3 linked regions of the Nothobranchius furzeri genome follow. Each later gene encodes a partner of the first gene's protein in a complex. Links are inferred from orthologs where the notes say so. Each region holds a gene or a part of one and is shown in the gene's direction. Other genes may lie near its edges.

Region 1 (4,335 bases):
ACACACACACACACACACACACACACACACACACACACACATCCAGGTCTCTGCATGCGTCCCGGGGTCTCCAGGCATAGCCGATACTCAAGAGCCAGTAAGAGTATACTACATGGTCATTATTCATTCCTCATCTGTGTGTGTGTGTGTGTGTGTGTGTGTGCACGTGCGTGTCTGTGTGTGTGTGTGTGTGTGTGTGTGTGTGTGTGTGTGTGTGTGTGTGTGTGTGTGTGTGTGTGACGACCAAATAGGTCACCTGACTTTCATGGTTCTGATTACTGTTTAAGGTTCTTGGATGAGGTTTAAGTCCTGAACTCCTGACCCAGGATCAGAGCTGAAGAACATCTTAAAGGAACAGGAGAAGAAGTCCTGTTTTGTTTCTTCATCCTACCTCATCAGAGTTTTATTTCCGCTCTGAACTCCATGCAGATGAAAACATTTCTGAGTCAAAGTCATGGTTTGTTTCATCAACCTGCCACTTTACCTTCCTGTGATGTGACTTAGTGAGGGTTTGGCACCAACAGCAACTTGAAACAGGAAAGAGTCTTTTGGCTCTTTGGTGCAAAACCTGCAGCAAAAGTTAAGCATGACTAATGGTGAATGAATGGAGCCCATTTGGTCAGCCATGACATGTTAAAATATTTAAAAAACAAGAATCTAAACTTCTCTCTAATCTGTAGACTCATGACTTTATGAAAGGTTTAATGCATCTTTTTCCATATAATCATCTGAGGAAGGAGGTCAGATGTGAGGGTTGCTTTTCTCTACTGAATTATCAGAGGCTTCACTCAAGCTAATGATTAGTCCTAATTTTAATCTGAGTTTTGGGGTCTTCAGATCAAACCTCAACAGATGTCTACGTGTTCTCCAGCTTGGGACTCACCTTCAGGGCTTCATCTCATTGTGTTTTATAAAGTAACTGGAGCCTCAGTCTCCTTCATCTGGCCTTAGAATAGGAAACATCCAGCTGCTGCAGCTCTTCAGAGCCACACAGATGTGTGTGTGTGTGTGTGTGTGTGTGTGTGTGTGTGTGTGTGGGGCAGCAGTAGCTCAACAGGTTGAGCGGGTTTTCCAGTAGTCGGAAGGTTGCAGGTTCGATCCCGGCTCCGGACAGAGAATTCTGCTGTTGTGTCCTTGGGCAAGACACTTAACCCAGCTTGCCTGCTGGCGGTGGTCGGAGGGACCAGTGCTCGGCAGCCTCAACTCTGTCAGTGTGCCCCAGAGCAGCTGTGGCTACATCGTAGCTCATCACCATCAGTGTGTGAATGGAAGAATGATACACTGTAAAGCGCTTTGGAGTCCTTACTCTGGCGGGCGCTATACAAAAGTGGGTCATTTATCATTTATCATAATTTGTGTGTGTGTGTGTGTGTGTGTGTGTGTGTGTGTGTGTGTGTGTGTGTGTGTGTGTGTGTGTGTGTGTGTGTGTGTGTAAAAGAGGGAGGAAGATGTGGGCTGAATTATCACTGTTAAATGAGTTGGGACAGAATGACATCACGGCGTAATTAAAGCCGCTCTCTGGAATTCCTGCTCAGGTCTGCTGCAGGATTCTGGAGCACCTGCGGGTTGTTGTGTGTGAGTGAAATATTTTCACTGGACAGAGTTCAAGCTTTGGAGGGAAAGAGAAAAAACGGAGGCAACCGCATTACGCCATACTCTCCTCACATGGAAAAAAGAAGTGGGATTTAAAGAAGTTGTTACATGGTACCAAGCAGAACAGTTCGCTGGAGAGCAGAAGACGGGTCCAGGTCTCAGAGTCTCACCTGTCCACCATCAGCAGTATGGTTCTGACACCTGACCCTGACCAAATGACTCTTTTAACCCTGTGAGAGTCAGACCCCGTTTCTCTAGCGTTTGGGAGCGAGACGCGCATTTTGGACCTCACGGGTCTGAGGATGAGAAAGGTCACTGAACTTCCCGCGCTCCTGGTGTCGGCTCAGCGGGTCAGATCGTTCTGAAGAGATTTATAGACGATGTGCCAAAAGGCTGCAGAGATTTAGGATGAGAGTGAAGAATCTTCCCCTTCTGCTCAGCTGGACGATAGTCTTCCTGCATCCCGTCCGCGGTTCGCTCAGCAGAACCAGAACCACCTTGGAGCGAACGGGAGGAACCGCTGGCTCTTGGAAACCAGCTCCTCGTGTGCGCGTGAGTGCGCTGCCGACCACAGGTGAGACGAATTTTGCCAGTCAGAAACCAGCGGGGATCTCCGCTGCACCGGGGAGGCTGGACCAGCCGCAGCAGGACGGAGCGCAAAGATCCGCGTGCAGAGAGGCTGTGTGCTCCTGGCGTCCCGCCGCTAAGGCACGTGTTGAAGCGCACGCGCCCGCAGCTGTTAACGCAAATGCTGCCAGGAAAGGAACTGAGACGTTTGGAGGAGGTGGCTCACCGGGGAAAGCCGCTTCCAGGGCGGGCGCAGCAGCCGCCGCTGCGCGCAGCGGGTATGAGCAAAAACAGAGCGCGGCTGTGGAGCGGGGCGTCAGCATCAAGTCACCGAAACCAGGCGCCAGGCAGCCGGTGGTGACCCCTCACGACTACATGCTGTCTCTGTACTGGTCACTGAGCAGCGGAGACGTGAACAGCAGCGCGGCTCTGGCCAACACCATCACCAGCTTTGTGGACAAGGGACAAGGTAACTGTCTCTGTCCTCTATAACGAAGACTATAGGCTTTCAAAGGAACAGAAAGAAAGAAAGAAAGAAAGAAAGAAAGAAAGAAAGAAAGAAAGAAAGAAATGAAAAACTGAATAACTTTCCTAGGATTTGGATCCAGTTCTGGGATCAGATGGTTTGGAAGCAGCAGAATGTTCTGTCGGTCATGTTTCAGTTGTAGGGAAACATCACTGCTGCTGCTCACACACAAACCTTACTTAAAACCAACCATTTAGTTCTGAGTGAAGATTTGGTGAAGGAGGGCTCTGTAGACCTCCACAGATCTAGGATCAGTAGGAGAAAGAACAGGATCTGAAGGGAAGGCCTGTGATTGGTTTAGCTCATACTGGAATAAAAGATATTTTAGTGTTTGCATTGAAAACTGTTCTTCTCGACCTCTAGGGTCCCCCAGGGTTCAGTTTTGGGTCCTTAGCTTTTCTCGATCTACATACTTCCTCCAGGCATCATTCTAAAAAAACTTAGTAAACTATCACATTTAATGCCTGGCAAGCCCGACTAAATAATATATTATTAAGTCCGGCAACACTCCATCGATGGCTCTCGGGCTCTACAGTTGCCTTTCAAACGATCTCCCGCACGCTACTGGACAATGAACAACGTGGCATACTCACCACAACGGATGTCGATAAACGAGGTTGTAGAAGGTAAAAATACATCCTTTTTCTAAATAAACAACTTAAAAACGTGTATCTGCTCCTGGTTCAATAAAGCCCAAGTCCCAATAGTCCAGAATTAATGTAAAACCCATTTAAAATGAGCGGTCGCCATTTTTTTCCACTCTTGCATCATCCCGCCCACCAGACAAACAGAGGTCCGTGATTGGTCCACAAAGCAGATAGGTCACTGTGACCGGCCCACCATTGTGGACCAATCACAGCGCTCTATCAGTTTGAAACCCCTCTAGAGAGCTGTGATTGGCCAGCCAGAATGCTGCTAGGGGCTGCAGAGGTTCTAGTGGAGCGTTCCTAGACCAAAGTTTGGTCTAGTTCACTAGACTAGTTCTGGGCTAGTTCACTAGGCTACACATGTATGCAGATGACTGACTACTACTATGTCAGCCCAAGCTCTCCTGCAGTCTGTGTTCAGGATCGTTCCTCTGTAATTAAAACCTGTTTTTCCTCTAATTACCTTCATCTAAATGAGGACAAAACCAATGCTATTGTAATAAAAGTAGCCGTGGGCAGCACGGGCAGAATATCTTGCCCTCCGGTCAGAACCTGAACACACCACCAGTAGGCAACGACTTATAAAAGACACACTTTATTGCACAACCAATAATAAAACACAACGATAAAACACCATGGCCCAAGCCCTCTCTTGTAAAACCAACTGTCCAGCATGAGTCACGTAAGCAGCGGTACTTAGCTGTCACGGATGGTGTGACCCCCGTCCCCGGGGTCTGAGCTTCCAACGCCGTCCAACGCCCCGGGGTGTAGCTTGCGAGGACGGCGGGTAAATCCACAACATAAGTCCACTGCCAGAGTCCGTAGCGGCAGATGTCGGCGCGGCCTTGGCATCACCTATGCCCAGCCCTAACTGTCTAAAGAAGGCGACCAGCCTTCCCTCCTGGCGCTGGAACACTAAACACCTGTTCAGCTATCTTCGTCGCCGGCAGCCCTACCCGGCTGCGAACGACCCCTCCCCCCAAAGTCCGATGCCACAATGAC
Region 2 (2,806 bases), on another chromosome or scaffold:
TTCTCCCAAGATTTTCAATGAAATATTTAGAAAACAAGTGTTCTAATTTTTTTCTTCCTTTTTGCAGATTACCATCATCTTCAAGCCGTATGAGGGCTGCACAGATCAGAGGGTCTACCAGGCTGTCACAGACAACCTTCCTGCTGCCTTTGATGATGGGACGGTGAGCAGTGGAGACCCCATCCACAAGTCTCTTGGAGCAGATGGTGCAGCTGGGAAGGTCCGGGCTCTGTGGATCTCTGAGCGCAGTCCTGGGCGCCATGTGGAGCTGCATGCTGGATACATCGGCGTAACTATAATTGTTCGCCAGTTGGGACGCTACCTGACGCTGGCGGTGCGGATTCCTGAGGAGCTGGCTCAGGACTACGATGACACCCAGGACCTTCAGCTGTGTCTGAACGGCTGCCCCGGCAGCGAGCGCATCGACCAGGCGGGACATCTTCCCCTCCCGCTGTCTCCTCCAGCACTCGGTCTACAGCGACAGCAGTTGCGTCAGCCCAGTTTCTCCTCACAGACACAAGCACATCCCTATGGCGCCACGCAGATTTTTGGTGTTGAAGGGGCGAAGGAGCGTTGCAGAGAGCAGCTGGAGGTGCTGGACATTTATTTCCACTCTTGTGTGTTTGATCTCCTGACCACCGGGGACGCTAACTTCACAGTGGCTGCATACAGCGCTCAGAAGGACATGGAAAGTCTCCATCCACACCAGGATCGGTGGAGGATCTACCCCCGTGGTTCTGCCACATCCATCTTCCGTTCTGATTCACAGTCTATCAAACATTTCGCTCTGCTCCTGCTGTGCGCTTTGAGCTCTGTTGTGGCGTCAGCCAGTATGTGTGCCTGAATGCATGTAGGCCCATGTTTGTGTGTGTGTGTGCGCGCGCAGTAGGAAGAGAGTTTAGGACATTGTTTTTGATTGTTTTTGCTGAGCACTGATAATGAATACTGATGCCATTCTCATGCAGAGAGGAGGCAGCAGGCGGGACACTTACTGGGAACTGGAAGTCGTTTAAAAGAGGCGATGAGCCCCCCTCCCAGTGTGCACAGGAAAACTGTCTGTCAGAACCAGAATCAGAAAATGCAGCCGACAATAAAACCAATGCTGTTATTTGGATGAATCGACTGTAAATAGATCATTTATTTCTTCCGTGCACATTGTAATGATGTTGATGTTTTTTGATTTGCCATTTGATGTGATTTTTAAAAAAAAAAAGTACCTCAGACAGAGGATTTTCTTAACAAAAGCACTTTATTTTAACATTTTATTCCACACAATGCCAGTCAGTGTTTCTTCTTCACTTTCTGTCCTCCACCAAAACTCACAACTGTTCATATTTTCTCTGTATCTCGTTGTTCCATCACACTTTTTCTTAAAGATAAAGTCATTTGAATGGTTGGAGCTGACATTTTGGTTTAAATGCACCATTCTACCAGTAGCTGACTGGACTCAGTCAATGTGAGGTTTTCTGTTGAATGTATTAGCTATGGCGTTGCAGCAAACGCCATCAGTACTTTGTTAGTAAATGGTTTCAAGTGTGTGTGTGTGTAAAAGTGTTTAGACTTGTCAGGTTCTTTATTTGAAAGCAGCTGAAGAATGTGGCTTCGTTTTACGTGAGTCACATTAGAAGTATTCCAATCGTTTTGCCAAATTTAAGTGACTACACTATCACGTTTTGTACTCGCCGTATTTTTCTGTTACAATTTGAGCCAAAGACCGATCATTTATGTTTCTCTGTACAGGAACTCTCTACCAAACCAGCATCTGTATCCTGTTTGTTTTAAATTAGCTACTTGTAATCTGTTTTCTCCCTATTCCGGATGTTTCTTATTAAGATGCATGTAAAGCAATGCAGGAATAATTCTTAAAAAAATGTCGGATGACTGGGAAAACTTCACCTTACTGTGCTGTTGTACAATTTGCAAGCGCAGCGTTGATGCCTGGTAGAAAATTCAACCCCTATAAATATGTAACATATGTAGATCAGTTTAAGTTTTTCACATTGTGATCTCTTTTCATCATGTGAGTGTCAGTTTGGTGAAGAGTGACTGGTCAGTGTTGAAATAACTAACTTATTTATAAACGTAGTGTCCCGTAGAGGAAGTTAAGCTCCATATTCTTGCTGTTGGATAATTATTTAAAAGAAATGTCAGCTGTGATTGTACTGCCACCTAGTGGTGCTCTCTTGCTTTGTCGGTGTGTTACTAAAGGCGCTCAAAATCAAACAAAAAGGAAACAAAATGTGTGCTTGTGTTTTATTTATTACAATAAAGTCAAAACGGTTCATGATGCTTAACTTTAACATTTAAGACTTGTAATGAAATAATAGACAAATCAAGAATGCCAAAAACAAACAAAAAGATTTTTAAAAAAGGTGTAAAATTGACCAGATCTCTCAGTTCTTTTTATTGTAATACAAGATCTGGATCATTTCGTACTAACAGAACTTCCACACACAAGTTTAAAGACACACACACACACACACACACACACACACACACACACACACACACACACACACACACACACACACACACACACACACACAACAGATAGAAGCATTAAAACACCTGTGTGAGGTTAGGCTTCGATCAGATACCAGGTTTGGCCTCACAAACACAATCTGTTTTCAACTGCCACAGTCAGCGACACCTGGGCCGGGAACAGACTCAAAAAGGCGCCACTGAGGATTTTTAACAGCTAAATCTTCAAGTTCATGTAACTGTACTGAAAACCCACATTCAACCCATCTTTATGAAGGCACTCATGAGGATGAGAACATCTTGTAGGGTGGAAATCCTCTCAGCT
Region 3 (4,413 bases), on another chromosome or scaffold:
GTGGCTGGTCTCAGGCGATCTTGGAAGTGAACATGCTGGATGTGAAGGTCCTTGGCTGGTGTGGTCACATGTGGTCTGCAGTTGTGAGGCTGGTTGGATGTACTGCCAAATTCTCTGAAACTCCTTTGGAGACGGCTTATGGTAGAGAAATGAAATTTAATTTCACGGGCAACAGCTCTGGTAGACATTCCTGCAGTCAGTCTGTTGCACGCTCCCTCAATGGTTGCGACATCTGTGGTGTTGTGGTGTTTGATCAAACTGCACATTTGTGAGTGTCCTTTTATTGTGGGCAGTCTAAGGCACACCTGTACATTATTCATGCCGTCTAATCAGCCCTTTGATATGCCACACCTGGGAGGTGGGATGGATTGTCTTGGGCCCTGTCCACACGTAGCCGGGGATCTGCCAAAAGTAGATATTTTTCAACGTTTTGGCCTGTCATCCACACGAAAACGGAGTTTTCACACCCTCTGTGTGAACCAATGCAAAATCACCTTTGTTAGATGGTAAAAGTAAACCTCAGATCCTCCAGGTTCACCATAAAAATTGGTTATGTGATAATTAAAAACACCTGATTGGTGCAGGTGAGTGGGCAGGTCATCTCCAGTCAACAAGGATGGGTGATGTTATAAATATTAGTAATAAAGTTGTTAATAGTGTTACTAATGAAAACAACTATTAGACATTTCTATTACAAAAAAAATGGTAGACTGATCATGTAATTAAAATGTGTACAAAAACCATCTTAAAGAGATGTTTTTATCAGCTCAGAAGCAAATGGTCCATGGACCGGTACCGGTCCTCAGCCCACAGGATGGAGGACCCTGCTTTGGATGGAGAGGTTCTCCTTATTTGCTGTTTTCTCACTGATGAAAACAACTGAAAAGTATTTCTGATTTTAGCTTTGATCTTAAATCTGGATCCTGTTGGGTTTTAATTCTAAGTTTCATGTTTCAGTTTTACTCCATCAGTTAGAAACATGAAGCTCAGCTGATTCCTCCTCATTCAGCAGGCTGGAGGAGTGAGAACCGTCAGATTAATGAAACATGACCTGGAACCCAGAGACGGACAGAGTTCATCTTCCTGGAGGTCTGAAATAAAAATAAATGGAGAAGTGTGTGTGTGTGTGTGTGTGTGTGTGTGTGTGTGTGTGTGTGTGTGTGTGTGTGTGTGTGTGTGTGTGTGTGTGTGTGTGTGTGTGTGTGTGTGTGTGTGTGTGTCCGTGTGAGAGAGAGAGAGTGTGTGTGTGTGTGTGTGTGTGTGTGCGTGTGTGTGCATGTTAGTGTGTGTCCGTGAGAGAGAGAGAGAGAGAGAGAGAGACAGAGAGAGAGAGAGAGTGTGTGTGTGTGTGATTGTGTGTGTGTGTGTGTGTGTGATTGTGTGTGTGTGATTGTGTGTGTGTGTGTGTGTGTGTGTGTGTGTGTGTGTGTGTGTGTGTGTGTGTGTGTGTGTGTGTGTGTGTGTGTGTGTGTGTGTGTGTGTGTGTGTGTGAGTGAGTGAGGACAGTTGTCGTGCAGCAGGTGGTCGTTGGGGATTTATTTAGCAACGCTTGAAGCTCCCAGTCAGCTGTAAATGCAGCACGAAGCTCAGACCAGAACCAGGGTGGGACCTCTCAGGCCCTCTTAGTTCTGGACGGATCCGACCTTCACAATTTTAAAGTTATTTTCCTGCTGGTTTTCTTCCAGCGGCCGGAGCTCATGGATGGACTCTGATCCTGAACCAGCTGGAGGTGAGACACTAAAATAAACATGGAATGTTTACACATTAAAAACTTTAGTTTTACACACAAATCCAACATGAGAATTCACACACACAAGCATGCACACACGCACACACACAGTTCATTAACCCTAACCCTAACCAAAAACCAGTGTACCTACAAAAGTAAATCTGATTATTTCTCAACTAAAACACCAAAAAAAGCAACAGATGATTGTGGCCGTTTTACTTATTTTTGATTTTCAAAATCAGAATCAAAATATTCAAAATCAGTTAGATTTTAAATGTTTCTGTTGCCTTTTATTGACTAAAATTATTAAATATTTATATTTGTCACATTTAGCCGCAGAACATAAAATTTAATAAGAAACACATTTTAATTTGATGTGTAATAATTTTGTTGTCTTTCAGTCAAATTCTAGAAAATCTTCATTATAAATGTGATATTAATAGAGTCGCACTGAACTAAATGCTACAGACACCCAATGTTTTACAGTCTGTTGTTATTCATCATTAGTTACAGCTGAGGGTTTATTTGAGCCTGTAAGATATGTAATAATGGCTGAAAGTAGAATATTTCAGTATCTAAAATGTTTAATTTGAAGATCCATCCATCCATTTTCTTCCGCTTATCCGGAGTCGGGTCGTGGGAGCAGTAGCCTAAATCGAGAGGCCCAGACTTTCCTCTCCCCAGCCACTTGGGCCAGCTCTTCTGGGGAAATCCCAAGGCGTTCCCTGACCAGGTGAGAGACGTAGTCCCTCCAACGTGTCCTGGGTCTACCTTTAGGTCTCCTCCCAGTTGGACGTGCCCAGAAAACCTCAGGGAGGCATCCAGGAGGCGTCATAATCAGACGCCTGAGCCACCTCAACTGGCTCCTCTCAATGTGGAAGAGCAGTGGATCTACTCTGAGGGTAGGAAGCGTAGATCTACCGGTAAATCGAGAGGTTTGCCTTCTGGCTAAGCTCTCTTTTCACCACGACAGCCCGCCTATTGATCTTGCGCTCCATCTTTCCCTCACTCGTGAACAAGACACCAAGATACTTAAACAACTCCTCTTGGGGCAGGACTTCATTCCTGACCTGGAGAAGGCATTCAATCGTTTTCCTACTCAAGACTATGGTCTCGGATGTGGTGGAGCTGATTCTCATCCCAGCCTCTTCACACTTGGCTGTGAACTGCTCCAGTGAGAACACGTTCTGATGAAGCCAACAGGACCACATTCTCTGCAAAAAGTGTGCAAAACGGATCCCCTCACCACCTTGGCTGCACCTAGAAATCCTGTCCATAAAAGTTATGAACAGAATCAGTGACAAAAGGCAGCCTTGGTGGAGTCCAACTCTCACGGGAAACAAACTCGACTTACTGCCAGCAATACGGACCAAGCTCTGACACAGGTCCTACAGGGACCTAACAGCCCGGATCAGAGGACATGGTACCCCATACACCCGGAGTACCCCCCACAGGGCCCCCCGAGGGACGCGGTGGAACACCATCTCCAAATCCACAAAACACTTGTAGATTGTTGGGCAAACTCCCACGCACCCTCCAGGATCCCCCTAAGAGCATAGAGCTGGTCCAGTGTTCCACGGCCAGGACGAAAACCACATTGATCCTCCTGAATTTGAGGTACGACAGTCCGATGGACCCTTATTTCCAGAACCCTGAATAGACCTTACCAGGGAGGCTCAGGAGTGTGATCCCCCTGTAGTTGGAACACACCCTGCGATCCACCTTTTAAATAGATTTTGATTGAGAGGAAAAGAAAAAATAACATGAAGAACAGATCTGTAAAGCTCTGGTGAAAACAAACGCATTAGAGTATAAAGATTCCTTAAGCCTAAGATATAAATAACAGTCATTCCAGACGTGTGTATTTTTAAGTTGTGTGTGTGTGTGTGTGTGTGTGTGTGTGTGTGTGTGTGTGTGTGTGTGTGCGTGCATGCGTGCGTGTGTTAAATTTAGCCTTCACACACAGCCGTTCCAACATGTTAACCCTAAATGACTGAACTGATCAGATCTAAGATCAGCTCATTGCTGATTAAATCGTCTGATGTCTGGAGCAGAAACATCAGAAATGCCACCATTTTACTCCTGTCATGATTCATTTGTTAACATAATGATTTACTGACATCACAATGTCTGATACTTTTCCAGCAGCCCAACTTCCTGTAACCCTTTAACCCTGGAGCATCAGTATTAGTACATTCACCAGCAGCCTGCCATATCCCATACCAAAATGAATGAAAACACCTTAATTGATGGACAAAACCAAGACAGAAGGAAAGGTTTCTGGGTTAAAATTTAAAGAGAGCTCTTTGACAATCCAGGTTGGATCTAAAATCTGGTTTCCTGATGTTCTGTTTTCTCTCTTGATTGGATTAAATTTATTATTCCTAAATGTGGAAATCCTATTTTTATGAGCTGAAAAAATAAAAGTGCAGAAAAAAAACGAGTTTTAATCAATAAGATTTCATCCACACGCCTAAAACGAGACACAATGTTGAAACTCATCTGAAGTAAAACACTGAAACAAATCTTCATCTGATGAATCAAACGTTCAAAATCAAACAAACTTTTTTAATTTAATACAGTTAGTTTTGAATCTTTTTTCTGTTAGAAGTCTGAAGGTTGAACCAATCGTTGTGGGGAATCACTCTAAGCCCTGCCCCTCGCTGCTGATGTTTGTTCTACAG

What was found.
Region 2: the proteins of gdf5 (region 1) and rgmb are in contact, whole or in part, in a crystal structure (PDB 6Z3J), measured with the Homo sapiens proteins. The link is inferred for Nothobranchius furzeri from reciprocal best matches to the Homo sapiens genes GDF5 and RGMB. Residues at the interface, in NP_000548.2 of Homo sapiens: Leu396, Arg399, Phe435, Pro436, Leu437, Arg438, Ser439, Asn445, Val448, Ile449, Leu452, Ser455, Met456; in NP_001353437.1 of Homo sapiens: Gln57, Thr60, Phe63, Val64, Thr67, Ser68, Leu70, Asn71, Tyr88, Leu103, Val104, Ser107, Ala108, Leu110, Gly111, Ile112, Asp114, Leu115, Gln118.
Region 3: the proteins of gdf5 (region 1) and hjv are in contact, whole or in part, in a crystal structure (PDB 6Z3L), measured with the Homo sapiens proteins. The link is inferred for Nothobranchius furzeri from reciprocal best matches to the Homo sapiens genes GDF5 and HJV. Residues at the interface, in NP_000548.2 of Homo sapiens: Met412, Trp414, Trp417, Phe478, Asp480, Ser481, Lys488, Tyr490, Met493; in NP_001366281.1 of Homo sapiens: Arg95, Arg98, Gly99, Leu101, His104, Ser105, His108.

The regions. Positions count from the first base shown.
Region 1 is NC_091743.1:78,134,725-78,139,059, reverse strand, and holds the start of gdf5 (growth/differentiation factor 5), read left to right. Parts: upstream 1-1,457; 5' UTR 1,458-2,001; coding exon 2,002-2,629; intron 2,630-4,335. UniProt on the Homo sapiens protein: Growth factor involved in bone and cartilage formation. During cartilage development regulates differentiation of chondrogenic tissue through two pathways.
Region 2 is NC_091757.1:44,843,517-44,846,322, reverse strand, and holds the end of rgmb (repulsive guidance molecule B), read left to right. Parts: intron 1-67; coding exon 68-844; 3' UTR 845-2,282; downstream 2,283-2,806. UniProt on the Homo sapiens protein: Member of the repulsive guidance molecule (RGM) family that contributes to the patterning of the developing nervous system. Acts as a bone morphogenetic protein (BMP) coreceptor that potentiates BMP signaling. Promotes neuronal adhesion.
Region 3 is NC_091745.1:60,112,924-60,117,336, forward strand, and holds the start of hjv (hemojuvelin), read left to right. Parts: upstream 1-1,503; 5' UTR 1,504-1,729; intron 1,730-4,413. UniProt on the Homo sapiens protein: Acts as a bone morphogenetic protein (BMP) coreceptor. Through enhancement of BMP signaling regulates hepcidin (HAMP) expression and regulates iron homeostasis.